4 linked regions of the Saccharomyces cerevisiae S288C genome follow. The gene in region 4 interacts genetically with the main gene of each other region. Each region holds a gene or a part of one and is shown on either strand. Other genes may lie near its edges. The genes, in order: SYF2, CYC1, BNA1 and PSK2.

Region 1 (3,114 bases), on a different chromosome or scaffold from region 4:
TTGAAGCAAGAAATATTGAGTAGGCAGCACAAACAAGCTGAAGGTATACACGCGGCTGAAAACCACAAAATACCAAATGACCGTTCACAAAAGAATACGAGCGTCCTTCCAAAGGACGATTCCTTGTATGAATATCATACTGAGGAAGACGTCATGTATGCCTAAAAAAAATAATATTCCACTTTTGTTCAAGGAATATCCCACCTCTATTTTATTTTTCTCTTCTATTCTTTGTCGAGTATCATCAAGTTATCCTTTGATTATTTTCACCCTTCCTAATCTACCTCTCTTTGTAACCGTTTTATGTACCAATATTTACTCAATCAACAATTTATCAACCAGTTAGTTATTCTCTAGTGTTTCGTGCTCAAATAACCGAGTAAGATGGACTCTCTTCTGAAGCACTTTTGCGGGCATTTAACCTCAGCTCGTCACGTGACGGTCGATGAAAAATCCAGGGTATTAAAACTTTCCTTTGGTTATATCGGTATATTCTAAATAAAAGAGAAGCTTATTCTGATCCTTTTGATTCCCTGCTCAATTTTTCATTGAATTGTTTATTTTTGTCATTAATGAAGCTTTCAACCCCATACAGTGTTTTTGCATTTTGCATTTGTCTTTTTCTTGCTTCGTATCTTTTTTTCGACTCAGATTGCAAAGAAACGGCCAACTTATTAACTAGCTTGTCGTCATCTGCAATTGTTATCTTACCCGTCTTAGTGTCCTTCTGTACCTTGCCGATTCTACCCTTCTTGGGTACGTTTTTATTGTCTTCTTCATCGGCGGAACTATCCTGTTTGCTCGAATTCTGTGTTTGCGTAGCGAGATTCCGCAAGGTCTTCTCATAACTCAATTTTGCAAGTTGATCATAGGAAATTCCACCTCTTTGGCTTTGCCCAGTCTTCCCTTGAGGATGCCTACGTTCCCACGCATCATATTCTTGGACAGTGTAATGAAATGCTTTCTCTTTTTCAGGACTTTCTGTATCTCCTACTGATTCATCTGCATCATTTACGTCTTCCATACTGTATACTCTTGGTTTTCGATTTGCGCTTACTTCCTGAATCTCTCTGTCAGCCAACTTCCTACTCTTTATAGATACATCTACTCTTTTCCTTTTCAACTCCTTCAGCTTCTCGTCTAATTTGTAAAAATCCATTCTTCGAATACTTTGACAAGATATGGTTTTGCTTCGCTTACAGTTCAATAGAGAAGTCAAACATTGTCATTGAGAGCCCCTCATCGCAAATATTGCTCTTTTAAGGAAAATATAGTAATATTCTAGCTTTTTTGTCATTCTACACGGAAATGTCTGTATTTTTCAAATTTTTTCATTATGCTGTAGCAGATGCCTGAAAAATTTGAAAACTTTGATGAGATGAGGTCACTGTTAAATTTGTAATATTATATGTCACACCTAGCGCTCCTTGAACAGCAAATCATTCCGGAGGATAGTAAAGATTCAAAATGCCATCCCTGTCTCAACCATTTAGACTAGCAACTCTCCCAAAAATTGCTTCATTGAGCAATTTTTCTTTACAAGCAGATTACGTTCAAGTCGCAGATGGCACCTTTAATGAATCTACAAATAACATAACGTTAGGTATTTCCGGGTCATCTATATCTCAATATATTATTAATCCTACACCAAAGTTAACATTCGATTACCCAATACCCTCTACAAATATTATCACGGCATGCAATGCTGAGAAAGGTCAAGCGAACATTGACGGAAATATAGAAGCCAGTACCGATGATGAAGCCAACAACGAGAAGACTATCAACACCCAAAAAAAAAGAAATGTTGAAATTTGGGCCTTTGGTTTAATGGTAAATAAGGGTAATTATACGCTAAATGTTATCACTAAGGCACTGGAAGATACCACTGATACCTCAAATGACCATCTGAGTGAGAGTGATATTGACAATAAAGCATACACGGGTTCAGACGAATTTTTATCTCAGTATAAGATCAAGGCGAAAGCCAAAGTCATGAGTATTAAAATTGACACCAAGAACAGCTTAGTAATTGCAATTTTACAGAACGGGTTGATTGAAATTTTTGATTTTAAGTTAACACTTTTGCATTCATTTGATATATCTTATGATAACTTAAAATATGCTAAATGGTTCACTGAAAATGGAACTGAATATGTTTTTGTTCTCTGTCCATTACAGGATGATAAAGTCTGCTATAAATTGCTCGAGCTAACAGATTGTGGCAGTGGAGAAAGTTCGCCCATAAAAGAATTATCATCTACTATCATCGAAGGATTTTCTTTTGAAAATTCAAAGCTTTGTTATCAATTTGGAAAACTTTACAAATTGAACCAGGGGAAAATATACATTTACTCTTTACCACATTGCCAATTGCAACAAGTTATTGAATTTCCGATGGTGGATAAACTCAGTCCTGGAGATGACTTAATCTCTTTCCAACCTGTTTCAGTAAACAGAGTTCTACTGACCGTAAACAACGTCATTTATCTACTAGACTTACTGCATTGTTCTACTTTAAGCCAAAGAGAATTAACTCACGTGAAAACATTCCAACTATTAAAATCTGCAGTGATCAATTCAGAAAAGTCGCATAATTCAAAAACAATAGCAATTGGTATTTCAACGAAAAATGGACCAAACCCAACGTCTTCCTTAGAAATAATTAATATTGATGTTGGAACTAATACGTTGAAGGACTCATTAGGCAAGAGTTTTCAAGTTGGAAATAATGATAGCTCAGTTATTTTAAAGCCGCTATTTGATGATAAAGACATAAATGACAAGAGAGTGAAATGTAACGACGTCAGCGGGGATTCAAGCGTTCCAGTCCTCCACTGTAATGAAGTTATTGAAAAGCTTTCAGCCCTTCAAGATAATGACATTACATCATTTGATGACATATTTTTCAAAGAACTAAAAATCAAAGAAGAACATTATACTGAAAAAGATAGATATATTTCTGATCCTGGCTTTTTGAATAAAGTTTTAGATCTAATTTTCGGAAAGTTTAGCGGAAATGATTATCCAAAAACTTTAACGTTTTTATTGACACACCCATTGTTTCCATTGAGTCGTACACGCAACTTGCTATCCTTACTAAGAGACCAACCTAGA
Region 2 (2,594 bases), on a different chromosome or scaffold from region 4:
ATATGCGCCAGCCCATATGCTTTTCCAACCGTGGAAGCCTCGCCCGATGAGTTTATTAACAGTATCAGTCGACAACTAAACTGGAATGTGAGGGAACAACAAAAGTCCTTTACGCATATTTTGTCCCAAAAGAACCAAGAAAAATATGCACATGAGGCGAACAAAGTCAGAAATCAAGCAGAACCTTTAGAGGTAATAAGAGATAAATACTCTCTGGAAGCAGACGCTACTAAGGAAAACAACAACGGAAGCGATGATGAGAGCGACGATGAGAGTGTAAACTGCGAAGCTTGCAAATTAAAGCCTTCGAGCGTCCCAAAACCTTCTCAAGCAAGGTTTTCAGTATAATGTTACATGCGTACACGCGTTTGTACAGAAAAAAAAGAAAAATTTGAAATATAAATAACGTTCTTAATACTAACATAACTATTAAAAAAAATAAATAGGGACCTAGACTTCAGGTTGTCTAACTCCTTCCTTTTCGGTTAGAGCGGATGTGGGAGGAGGGCGTGAATGTAAGCGTGACATAACTAATTACATGATATCGACAAAGGAAAAGGGGCCTGTTTACTCACAGGCTTTTTTCAAGTAGGTAATTAAGTCGTTTCTGTCTTTTTCCTTCTTCAACCCACCAAAGGCCATCTTGGTACCAGGAATATATTTCTTTGGGTTAGTCAAGTACTCTGACATGTTATTTTCGTCCCACAACACGTTTTTCTTGATATTGGCATCTGTGTACGAATACCCTTCAGCTTGACCAGAGTGTCTGCCAAAGATACCATGCAAGTTTGGACCAACCTTATGTGGGCCACCCTTTTCCACGGTGTGGCATTGTAGACATCTAGTCTTGAAAAGTGTAGCACCTTTCTTAGCAGAACCGGCCTTGAATTCAGTCATTATTAATTTAGTGTGTGTATTTGTGTTTGTGTGTCTATAGAAGTATAGTAATTTATGCTGCAAAGGTCCTAATGTATAAGGAAAGAATATTTAGAGAAAAGAAGAAAACAAGAGTTTTATATACATACAGAGCACATGCATGCCATATGATCATGTGTCGTCGCACACATATATATATGCCTGTATGTGTCAGCACTAAAGTTGCCTGGCCATCCACGCTATATATACACGCCTGGCGGATCTGCTCGAGGATTGCCTACGCGTGGGCTTGATCCACCAACCAACGCTCGCCAAATGAACTGGCGCTTTGGTCTTCTGCCATCGTCCGTAAACCCCGGCCAAAGAGACCGGAAAGATCGGTGAAAACATCTTGATCTTGCTCCCGGGAATTTTAGATTCAGGTAGGAAATTGATTACATCAATACTGTTACCCTGAATCATATTCGACGATGTCGTCTCACACGGAAATATAATTCATTTCTTGGTTTTCCAAAAAAATTTTCATTTTTTTTCACTTTTTTGTTTCGTCCTCCTTTTTTTTTTTTTTTTTTTATTTTTTTTCCTGTGTTCACCTTTTTTTTTTTCAGTTGACATCTTTCTGCATTCTTTTCTGTGTTTTTTTTTTTTTTTTTCGTTTTTCCATTGTTCGTTCGTTGCCTGTTTTTTCGCCCTATTGTTCTCGAGCCTAAAAATTTTTTCCTTTCCTGCTTTCCTTTCTTCGTTCAAAGTTTCCTATTCCATTGTTCTCTTTGGTAAACTCATTGTTGTCGGAACTCAGATATATTCAGGTCAATTTACTGTACTTCAATTGACTTTTTTCTTGAAATTTCAACTTGCCTTTTCAACTTGTTCTTCTTTTTTAATCTTATTCTACACTTTAGTTCCCTTACCTTGTTCCTAATTATTGTCTAGCAAAAAGAAAACATACACCTATTTCATTCACACACTAAAACATGTCTGACGAAGAACACACCTTTGAAAATGCTGACGCTGGTGCCTCCGCCACCTACCCAATGCAATGTTCTGCCTTGAGAAAGAATGGTTTCGTTGTCATCAAAGGTAGACCATGTAAGATTGTCGACATGTCCACTTCCAAGACCGGTAAGCACGGTCACGCCAAGGTCCATTTGGTTACCCTTGATATCTTCACTGGTAAGAAGTTGGAAGATTTGTCTCCATCCACTCACAACTTGGAAGTTCCATTTGTCAAGAGAAGCGAATACCAATTGTTGGATATTGATGATGGCTACTTGTCCTTGATGACCATGGACGGTGAAACCAAAGACGATGTCAAGGCACCAGAAGGTGAATTGGGTGACAGCATGCAAGCTGCTTTCGATGAAGGTAAGGATTTGATGGTCACTATCATTTCTGCCATGGGTGAAGAAGCTGCCATCTCCTTCAAGGAAGCTCCAAGATCTGATTAGATATTTTAGATTTCTATAGCTTACAAAATACGCGATGTTTTTTTGATCTAGAAATCTTATTTATACATTTTATATAATATTATAATAATCATAATCATAATTATTCATCCTAACTAACTTCGTTCTGTTTCAGCTACGAAGTTGCCTTCATTATCGCTACGTTCGTGTTAATTGGTGTTTGATACCATAGTCACTTATGACGACGTGCAGAACTTTTTTTTTTGACGGATATTTTCCCCTCAATATGCCGAGGATGATTACTTTATAATT
Region 3 (2,660 bases), on a different chromosome or scaffold from region 4:
TCGCCAAATAGCAAGGAGCATATCACAGCATTTTGGGAGTGTGTATGTATTATAGCACCTGCATTTTTCTTTTGGTAGCACGCTAAGAACAATGGAGTACATGCGCTTGGCTTGTAAAGCTTGGGAGAGCGCAAATACTCTAATGTCTGAGCGTCCATGACAAACAAATCCTCAGGTATCATCTTCTCCTTCTGCACCCCAGATGGGGCGAGATAATAATAATTCGTGTTAGGATCTTTTATTGAAATCCCACCTCCAGTTCCGGTGCACCAATTATTATGAAAAAACTGCTTGCATAGCGTGCAAATGAGATTTGCTGGATGGCACGGATCATCTGAATGTATCAGAACATCTTGTGAAGACATAGTCGTTCACTGGCTCCCCTTGTTAGTTCAGTGCTTAAAAACGTTACATATCTTGATGAACAGCTAGCTGCTTTGATCAAGAGAAAAAAAAAAAAAATTGGCACCGCATCTTAGTGCCGCAATCTTACGTAACAAGAGAGCTATAAAAGTACAACTAACAACTCTTCTAATACTTAATTAGATTGAGGGCGTGCGTAGTTTAACGTCTTGCAATGGAAACATGTCCTCTTTTCGACATCATTTTCAAAATCTAAAATGGCTTCTTTCACTTGGGTACCTAAGTCTAACATTTGCAGTTCACTCTCGTGGACCACTTGGCGACAATGAGAACAGTACCACCTTATCTTATCGTTTTCTCCCCCAGGCCTATCTTGTTCCACAACAATACCCACAGTATCAGCAAACCGAACAGGACTGTGAGGAACATTTCCTGGCAATAAATATGAATCGCCTTCATTGATGATGATATCAATGAACTTTGGTTCAGCGTCTGTCTCATCCACAACCTTTAAAAGCATAGATCCTTTTTTTTGATAGAACCATTCGGGAGTTGGATTGATGTGATAACCGGTTCTTTCATTAGGCCCACCGACAATCATCACAGTGAATCCCCCTTTATGTAAGCAATAATTATTCACCGGTGGTTTCAAAAGGCCTTCGTTCTCCTTCAACCATTTGTCGATATTAATTGGTGTAGTATTAAACATTTTTTTCGATTTTTTTGGTAAATGTATGCTATTTCAGTTACTTGTAGACTGTCGTGAAAAGAATAAAGAAAGAATCTTTTACGTCCGTTTTTTTACTTTGCCGAATATGTTTCAGTGACTCACAATTTATCCTGACGCCGTCACAAAGGCAGCCATTCCATTGCAATAACGACACTCTGAATATTCACGAACGTTCACCAGACATTTGGAGGCAGCGTTCTAAATGCCGATACCCGTTCAGGAGTACAGGTGTCAGTGACAGAAAAATAATGGCACCGTTGACGTCGAAAATACATCCGCGCAAATTTTGACAGGCTATTTTGGCAGCGCAATCAAAGAATAAACTTGGTATAGTAAGGAAGCCAGTTACTGTACGCATGAATTACGGTAGCTTTTTTTATTTTATTTATTTTTTTTTTTTTTGGACAAATAGAAAAATTTTTATTATTATGTAAGATTATTGAAGTAAAAATACAATTGGACGAATCTAGTTAGATTGCCAAGATGTGTTAAAAGGCAAGATTAACTTATGAACATGATCTACAACGTCCTGGTTTTTAAATTCGAGTAAATACGCCTCCTTTTTATCTGTGAATGACAGTCCTGTTCTCCCAAGTCTTTTTACATCATGGAGACGGGAGTTATACTCTCTCGGGTACAAGGTTCCTTCAGCATCAGAACAGATCACAAACTTTATCGCAACAACAATTCCTTTATATTCCTGGGAAAATATGTCGGTATAGCCTACTCGAGACGGCTTCCAAACATCAGCTTTCGTTTTAACATGTTGCTGTTGGAATAAAAATCCACTATCGTCTATCAACTAATAGTTATATTATCAATATATTATCATATACGGTGTTAAGATGATGACATAAGTTATGAGAAGCTGTCATCGAAGTTAGAGGAAGCTGAAACGCAAGGATTGATAATGTAATAGGATCAATGAATATAAACATATAAAACGGAATGAGGAATAATCGTAATATTAGTATGTAGAAATATAGATTCCATTTTGAGGATTCCTATATCCTCGAGGAGAACTTCTAGTATATTCTGTATACCTAATATTATAGCCTTTATCAACAATGGAATCCCAACAATTATCTCAACATTCACATATTTCTCATGGTAGCGCCTGTGCTTCGGTTACTTCTAAGGAAGTCCACACAAATCAAGATCCGTTAGACGTTTCAGCTTCCAAAACAGAAGAATGTGAGAAGGCTTCCACTAAGGCTAACTCTCAACAGACAACAACACCTGCTTCATCAGCTGTTCCAGAGAACCCCCATCATGCCTCTCCTCAACCTGCTTCAGTACCACCTCCACAGAATGGGCCGTACCCACAGCAGTGCATGATGACCCAAAACCAAGCCAATCCATCTGGTTGGTCATTTTACGGACACCCATCTATGATTCCGTATACACCTTATCAAATGTCGCCTATGTACTTTCCACCTGGGCCACAATCACAGTTTCCGCAGTATCCATCATCAGTTGGAACGCCTCTGAGCACTCCATCACCTGAGTCAGGTAATACATTTACTGATTCATCCTCAGCGGACTCTGATATGACATCCACTAAAAA
Region 4 (5,578 bases):
CATTTTTTCTAGGCAATCCTTGATATCTCTTTTTATGAAAAGGTTCACACATTCTTGAAATACTTCACTCCTCTGATCATTTACCGACTTGGTCGATTCATCACTTTCAATGAATAAGTCATCGTTAAGTAAATCCCTTAGAGAAGAATCGAGGGAATGCATAGGCAGATTGTTCATTATCTCACTTGCAGCCATTATTCACAGAACCCTCTTGTATAAACCACACCGTAGTACGTTCTGCTAGTGCCTCTTTCTGTTTACCTAACTATTTCTCTTGCCTAAATATGTAAGTCTACGATGACTTTTCTATGGTACTTGATGTCACTCCGACGGCGATAAGCCGCTCAGCGCAGAAGTTTGCCCCAAAATAGAATGAAAGAAAATACTGCATAGAGGCTGGACAAGAAGGATATAGAGCAATGATATGATATTAAAAATGTAATTAATATATAGCCAAAAAAAGAATAGAACATTTATGAAGGTAAATGGTTATGAAAATGGATTAAATTATTCTTTCCCTTTATCTTGGAGAGTACGGAAAACTAGATTTTAAGCCATTTATCTTCATATATTTCATCAATAGTAGGTCTTTTATCAACTTCTCTTGTCAAAATTCTTTTTATCAAACTGATGCATTCTTCACTGACATGTTCCGATTTATCGAACCTTAATTCACCTTCCAAGATTTCATCAATGTTGTAATAAGGATTCTCTTTATAAATTATGGTATAAAGTAGCACACCAAGAGCCCAAATATCTTGTGGTTTACCTTTGTAAGAGGAACCACCAAGGACTTCAGGTGCAGCATAGTCCATTGTTCCCACAAAAACATCGAATGGTCCACTCTTGATATAGGCAGCCGAACCGAAATCGATTAATTTTACAAAGCCATGAGAATCAACAATAACATTTTCGTCCTTTATGTCTCTATGAACAATTCCTTGGTCATGTAAATGCTTTATACTAGCGACTACCTGTTTAAACACCAGTTTAGCTTCATGTTCAACCATATCTTTTTTGAATTCGATAACATCAAATAGATCAATACTACCAGTTTCTCCATGGACCGGTGTTTCAATGTAATAATAATCGTCATCTTCAAAAAAATCTAATAACTTCAAGATATTTTCTTGGGAATTTTTATTCAAGGTCGCCATAATTTGGATCTCAGAAGGTATAGTACCTAATTTTCTATCTCTCACCCATGTGTCTACTAAAATCCTCTCTTTGAAAATCATTTTGATGACCACGATATAGTGTTCTCTGTTATGAATGCATAAATTGACTTTACCGTACGCACCCTCACCCATCACTTGCAGAATAGTAAAATCAGAAAATTTCTTTATGCGCTTTTGTGAGCCTATATTAGCCTCTGGAGTAGTCAAGTACGTAGCTTTTAAAGTAGAATTTCTTTTGTCTAGCTCATTTGTTTCCTTTTTGATTTCTTCTCCGTTTATCGGTTCAATTATCCTCATTATAAATTTTTCATCCACTTTAAAGTTGTCGTCCTTTACAAATTTTGATTTGTCCTGCGTGTACATTTTCGTTAATTCAATTTTATGTTTTAACTCAGGATCATCAACCATTGTCATGTCATCGTCATAGTTATTGTTGTCATTAGATTCGATACCTCTCACTTTACCGCAAGAAGTTTCTCGTAGTTTTTCATTCACTTGATTTAAGTCTACTTCATCGTCTGAATTAGAAATCGTTTCAGCGGAGCTAATCGACAGATCAGCCATTGCCTTCAAAGTATTCACAGGAATTTTTTCCGAAGATTTCTTGGAAGATGCACTGGAACTACCTCTACTGCCAACGACATCAATTTCGTTCTCCTTTAACATCGGTAGCTGCGAAGGAACGGTGGTATAATTTTCAATGACCACGTCTCTTGAGTGTGTAATCCATAATAATACAGCATTCGTATTCAAGACCCGTAATTGAACATCCACCTTTATCAAATTACCATCTTTGTGACAGCCGTCTAGACCAATAGAAGTGTAAAACGAGTCCTTATCATGATGCATTTCAGCCTCAATTTTTCTGAAAAAATGTTCTGTTAAAACCAATCCTTTATTTTCTGGTAATGTGATATTTAACATAGGATAAGTTTTATTGATATAAGATATCATGTCCGCCAAAGAAGGAACCAACTTAGTAACCGAACTACCGGCCAACTCGTGAAGTCGCAAGCCAAACATGTTTTTGGCGACTGATTTGTTGAAACTTAAAAGACTTAAAGTGTGACTGTCAACAATAAATAGCCCAGCCTGATAGGGCAAACTATGAATTTTTAATTTTATTTCGTTTTCCAATACGGAAGTTGTAACAGCACATGGTATATTTTCAGATAGACAATTCAACGTAAAATATCTCTCTTCGTTGACATGATTTGCCACCCTGATAGACAAGGGTAATAAATCATCATCTGCAGAAAACACTTTTCCAAAACGTACATCATCAATTAGTTTACTCAGTGAGTGACTTACTGACCCAATATCGTGAATTTCATTTGCAAATTTTACCGTTTTCTTTTCTGTCATTGGCGAAGTTGATTCTTGCTGCTTTTTCTTGTCAAAGTTTTCCAGAAAGTGTGTTGTATCAATAATGCTGTCCACTGAAAAATCTCTCAAGTTTAACATGACGTCAATGTAATCGCAAGGCGTTTTTTCAAATACGCAGACCAGTAGGCCATTCTTCCGCTTGGCCCATAGTGAAGCCCAAATCAGATTTGGTACATTATTATTGCTTGTCGAATTTGGCTGGACGATAGGTATAGTTTCTCCGGTAAACACAATTTCTTGGTTATCATCTTCTGCATTCATGATTTTCTCTAGAACAAAATTTCTGCTATCCGTATGAATAAGGTCTAGTAAAGTAAGTGCCTTGATAACATTCTTTGATATACCGAACGTTAGACACGCCAAATCATTGGCAGCTTTGAAGTTCCAGGGGTATTGTTGAGAACATGTAAAAATGGCCTCTGGACCAGAATTTTTTGCAGATGTGAAAGGATGAAGAATTCGGCTATAGTCCTGTTGTGGTTTGATGTCTGCTAAGGAGACTATATCATCGTGTTTCTCCTCATATTCATTATATTGCGATTTCGAACCTAAATCTTTGTGAGGGAACTTCTTGTAGTTTTCAAAAAATGGTTCTGCTAAACTATCTAATAAAACCTTTTTCAAAGTTTCTGATTTTTGAATGTCTGAATCAAAGTTTATTTTCTTGATATTCAATAACGATAGCATGTGTAAATCGGAAGCTCTTTCGAAGGAATTGTTTTCCAATGCTAAATTTAGCAAGAATAACAAGTTTTCTAACTCGGACTTGGCTGGATTCAGTTTACTGGCAGTATCATTATCAGGCAACACCATTAAGGACGTTGCTCTCTGTATCACGGGTCTACTAGCAGGAGATGGCATATTGGATACTAATGGTGAAATTAGAGACCCATTTAACGGATCTCGCGATGCTGATAACGTGGCAGTCTCTGTTAAGTTTCTTGTGTGTCTAAGTGAGGGGGGGTATGCTATTACGGGTGCTTTTTTCTTCAACTCATGTAAGATGTCAGGACTGTTTACCATTATTTCCAAAGACCTTCTTAAGATGGTCAACCTTACTCCCAGTGAGTTTGGTGATATGGGATTATACGAAAATGCATGCGGCGACTCATTAGGTACAGCAACAAGGTCCGAACGATCATCATCACTGAATGTTGACGAAAACGAATCGACGGACGAGGAAGCGTGTTGGTACAAGCATGGAGGTTTAGAGAGCCCTACCAACGGGGTATTTTTAGAATATGAAATGTCGGCAGGAGCGGCTGCACTAACCGGGTATGTCATTGTGTTCTTTGTTTATGATTCTTTACTTTAATCTAGCAGGGCAGAGGAGTAACAATAAAACGCCCTGCAAAGAAGTATGATTACTGTTCTTGCCAGACTTAGAATTCTAAGTGTTAAAAGTCACCAATAAGGAAGGAAAAAAGTTTATGATAGTTTATACTGTTGTTGTTACTACCTGCTCCGTTATGTTTCTAACAAGGAATAAAACAGGGTATAGACGTGATGTCAGCTTAAAGAGGAAAACGAAATATGTAAACTTTGTTAAAAATAAACAGGGCCCCTTATTGATCGTTCGCGATGCTATTATTTTATAAGCCAGCCTTTATCGTTTCTTTTGATCTTGTTTCTTTTTCTTGTTTTTTTTTTTAACTTCGTTCTCTTTTCACGTACTGATTACTCACACCAGGAGAAAGAAGTTGAAAAATGCTGTTATTCTCTGGAACACGCTATTAGATAGTACTTGCTGGTTCCGTAGACAAACAGCTCTTGCGCTTTATCACTTCGACAAGTGTCTTTACAGCTTCGCGATGACATATCGTCTCTTGCCCCTGCCCCACCTGTAACAATAGCTTGGCCAAAAAAGAAAAAAATGTTCCGACGAATTTTTCCGCTGATTTTGGCTGATCGCGTCGCGCCACAAAAACGAAACTTCCATAATAAAACATTATATAAAGCTTTTTATTATTATTATTATTACTTTCTTAGTTATAGCATTAGAACTATAAGAGCTGCTAAGACACCAAGCAAACATGTCGACTAGACCCCAACCTGATTGGTATTACCATAGACATCCATATGCCTCTACGCCACTGGCAGAAGGGGAGGAACCACAATTACTCCCCATCCAAGACCAAGGGAACCATAAGAAATCAAAAATTTGGATGGCATACAAGGCTCCGATAGTTCGATGGTACAAGAATGCTATGCTTGTTAAAGACAATTTTTGGAAAGACCTAGAGTCGTCGCACCAGATCATCTGGTATCCGTATAAAGTATGTTGATGTTCCAATAAGCAGATCATGTTTTTTAAGCCGTCATACTAACCGCCTTTGAAGGGAATTAGCGAATCCGTGGGAAACTCGGATTATTTGCATCTATTTTTCCTAATATTTGGATACTACCTGCTGAATCTCCTGCTTATTGTTGCGTTTACGTCAATCCTTGCGTGGTCCTTGTTAGTGTGCATCTATTTGCCCTTTCTCGGACTCTTTGCGTTACCTCTGGCTTATATGCAAACTATTCTGATTTCCACAACGCTATGTAATTCTATGGTGAAGGGTACCGATTTCGTTCTTTTCACACGTATTTATGGAGTGACGTTCGCAAGAAAGGGATTAACAGAGTTGAGTGAAGCCTGTGAAACGATAAGTTTCACGCCCTTTGTCTACAGAAGGTCACATCGTTTGGGTGGCCTCTTTTCGAAACGGTTTTACCTCGTCTCTTTGCCGCAGTTTTTCATTTTTTTCTTCTGGTACATCTTCATAGCCTTTATGTTTCTTTTATTGTTGCTCGTTCCAATAGTGGGTCCAATTACAATCAATATGCTACCATTTAGCCCCGGAATGGGATTTTACTATTTTGAGCCTTATTTTGTTGACGTGCTACATTTGGATTCGCGCAAACTTTCCAAAGTTTACTACAAGGGCTTTGCCAAGTGGCTCCTTTACTCGATATCCAGCGGTTTATTAGAGTCTATTCCCATTCTGGGTGGGTTGTTCATTGGAACAAAC

The links.
Region 1: mutations in PSK2 (region 4) and SYF2 together harm fitness more than expected from each alone (negative genetic interaction), as found in Saccharomyces cerevisiae (3 studies listed by BioGRID).
Region 2: mutations in PSK2 (region 4) and CYC1 together harm fitness more than expected from each alone (negative genetic interaction), as found in Saccharomyces cerevisiae (3 studies listed by BioGRID).
Region 3: mutations in PSK2 (region 4) and BNA1 together harm fitness more than expected from each alone (negative genetic interaction), as found in Saccharomyces cerevisiae (3 studies listed by BioGRID).

The regions. Positions count from the first base shown.
Region 1 is NC_001139.9:748,445-751,558, reverse strand, and holds SYF2 (Syf2p), read right to left. Parts: upstream 1,160-3,114; coding exon 512-1,159; downstream 1-511. Other genes in the region: YGR130C (uncharacterized protein), read left to right, coding at 1-165; UTP8 (Utp8p), read left to right, coding at 1,468-3,114.
Region 2 is NC_001142.9:524,638-527,231, reverse strand, and holds CYC1 (cytochrome c), read right to left. Parts: upstream 898-2,594; coding exon 568-897; downstream 1-567. Other genes in the region: UTR1 (NADH/NAD(+) kinase), read left to right, coding at 1-348; ANB1 (translation elongation factor eIF-5A), read left to right, coding at 1,851-2,324.
Region 3 is NC_001142.9:470,600-473,259, forward strand, and holds BNA1 (3-hydroxyanthranilate 3,4-dioxygenase), read right to left. Parts: upstream 1,073-2,660; coding exon 539-1,072; downstream 1-538. Other genes in the region: methylthioribulose 1-phosphate dehydratase MDE1, read right to left, coding at 1-365; YJR026W (gag protein), read left to right, coding at 2,161-2,660.
Region 4 is NC_001147.6:241,767-247,344, reverse strand, and holds PSK2 (serine/threonine protein kinase PSK2), read right to left. Parts: upstream 3,849-5,578; coding exon 543-3,848; downstream 1-542. Other genes in the region: PEX15 (Pex15p), read right to left, coding at 1-195; LDS2 (Lds2p), read left to right, coding at 4,598-4,840, 4,904-5,578. UniProt on the Saccharomyces cerevisiae protein: Serine/threonine-protein kinase involved in the control of sugar metabolism and translation. Phosphorylates UGP1, which is required for normal glycogen and beta-(1,6)-glucan synthesis.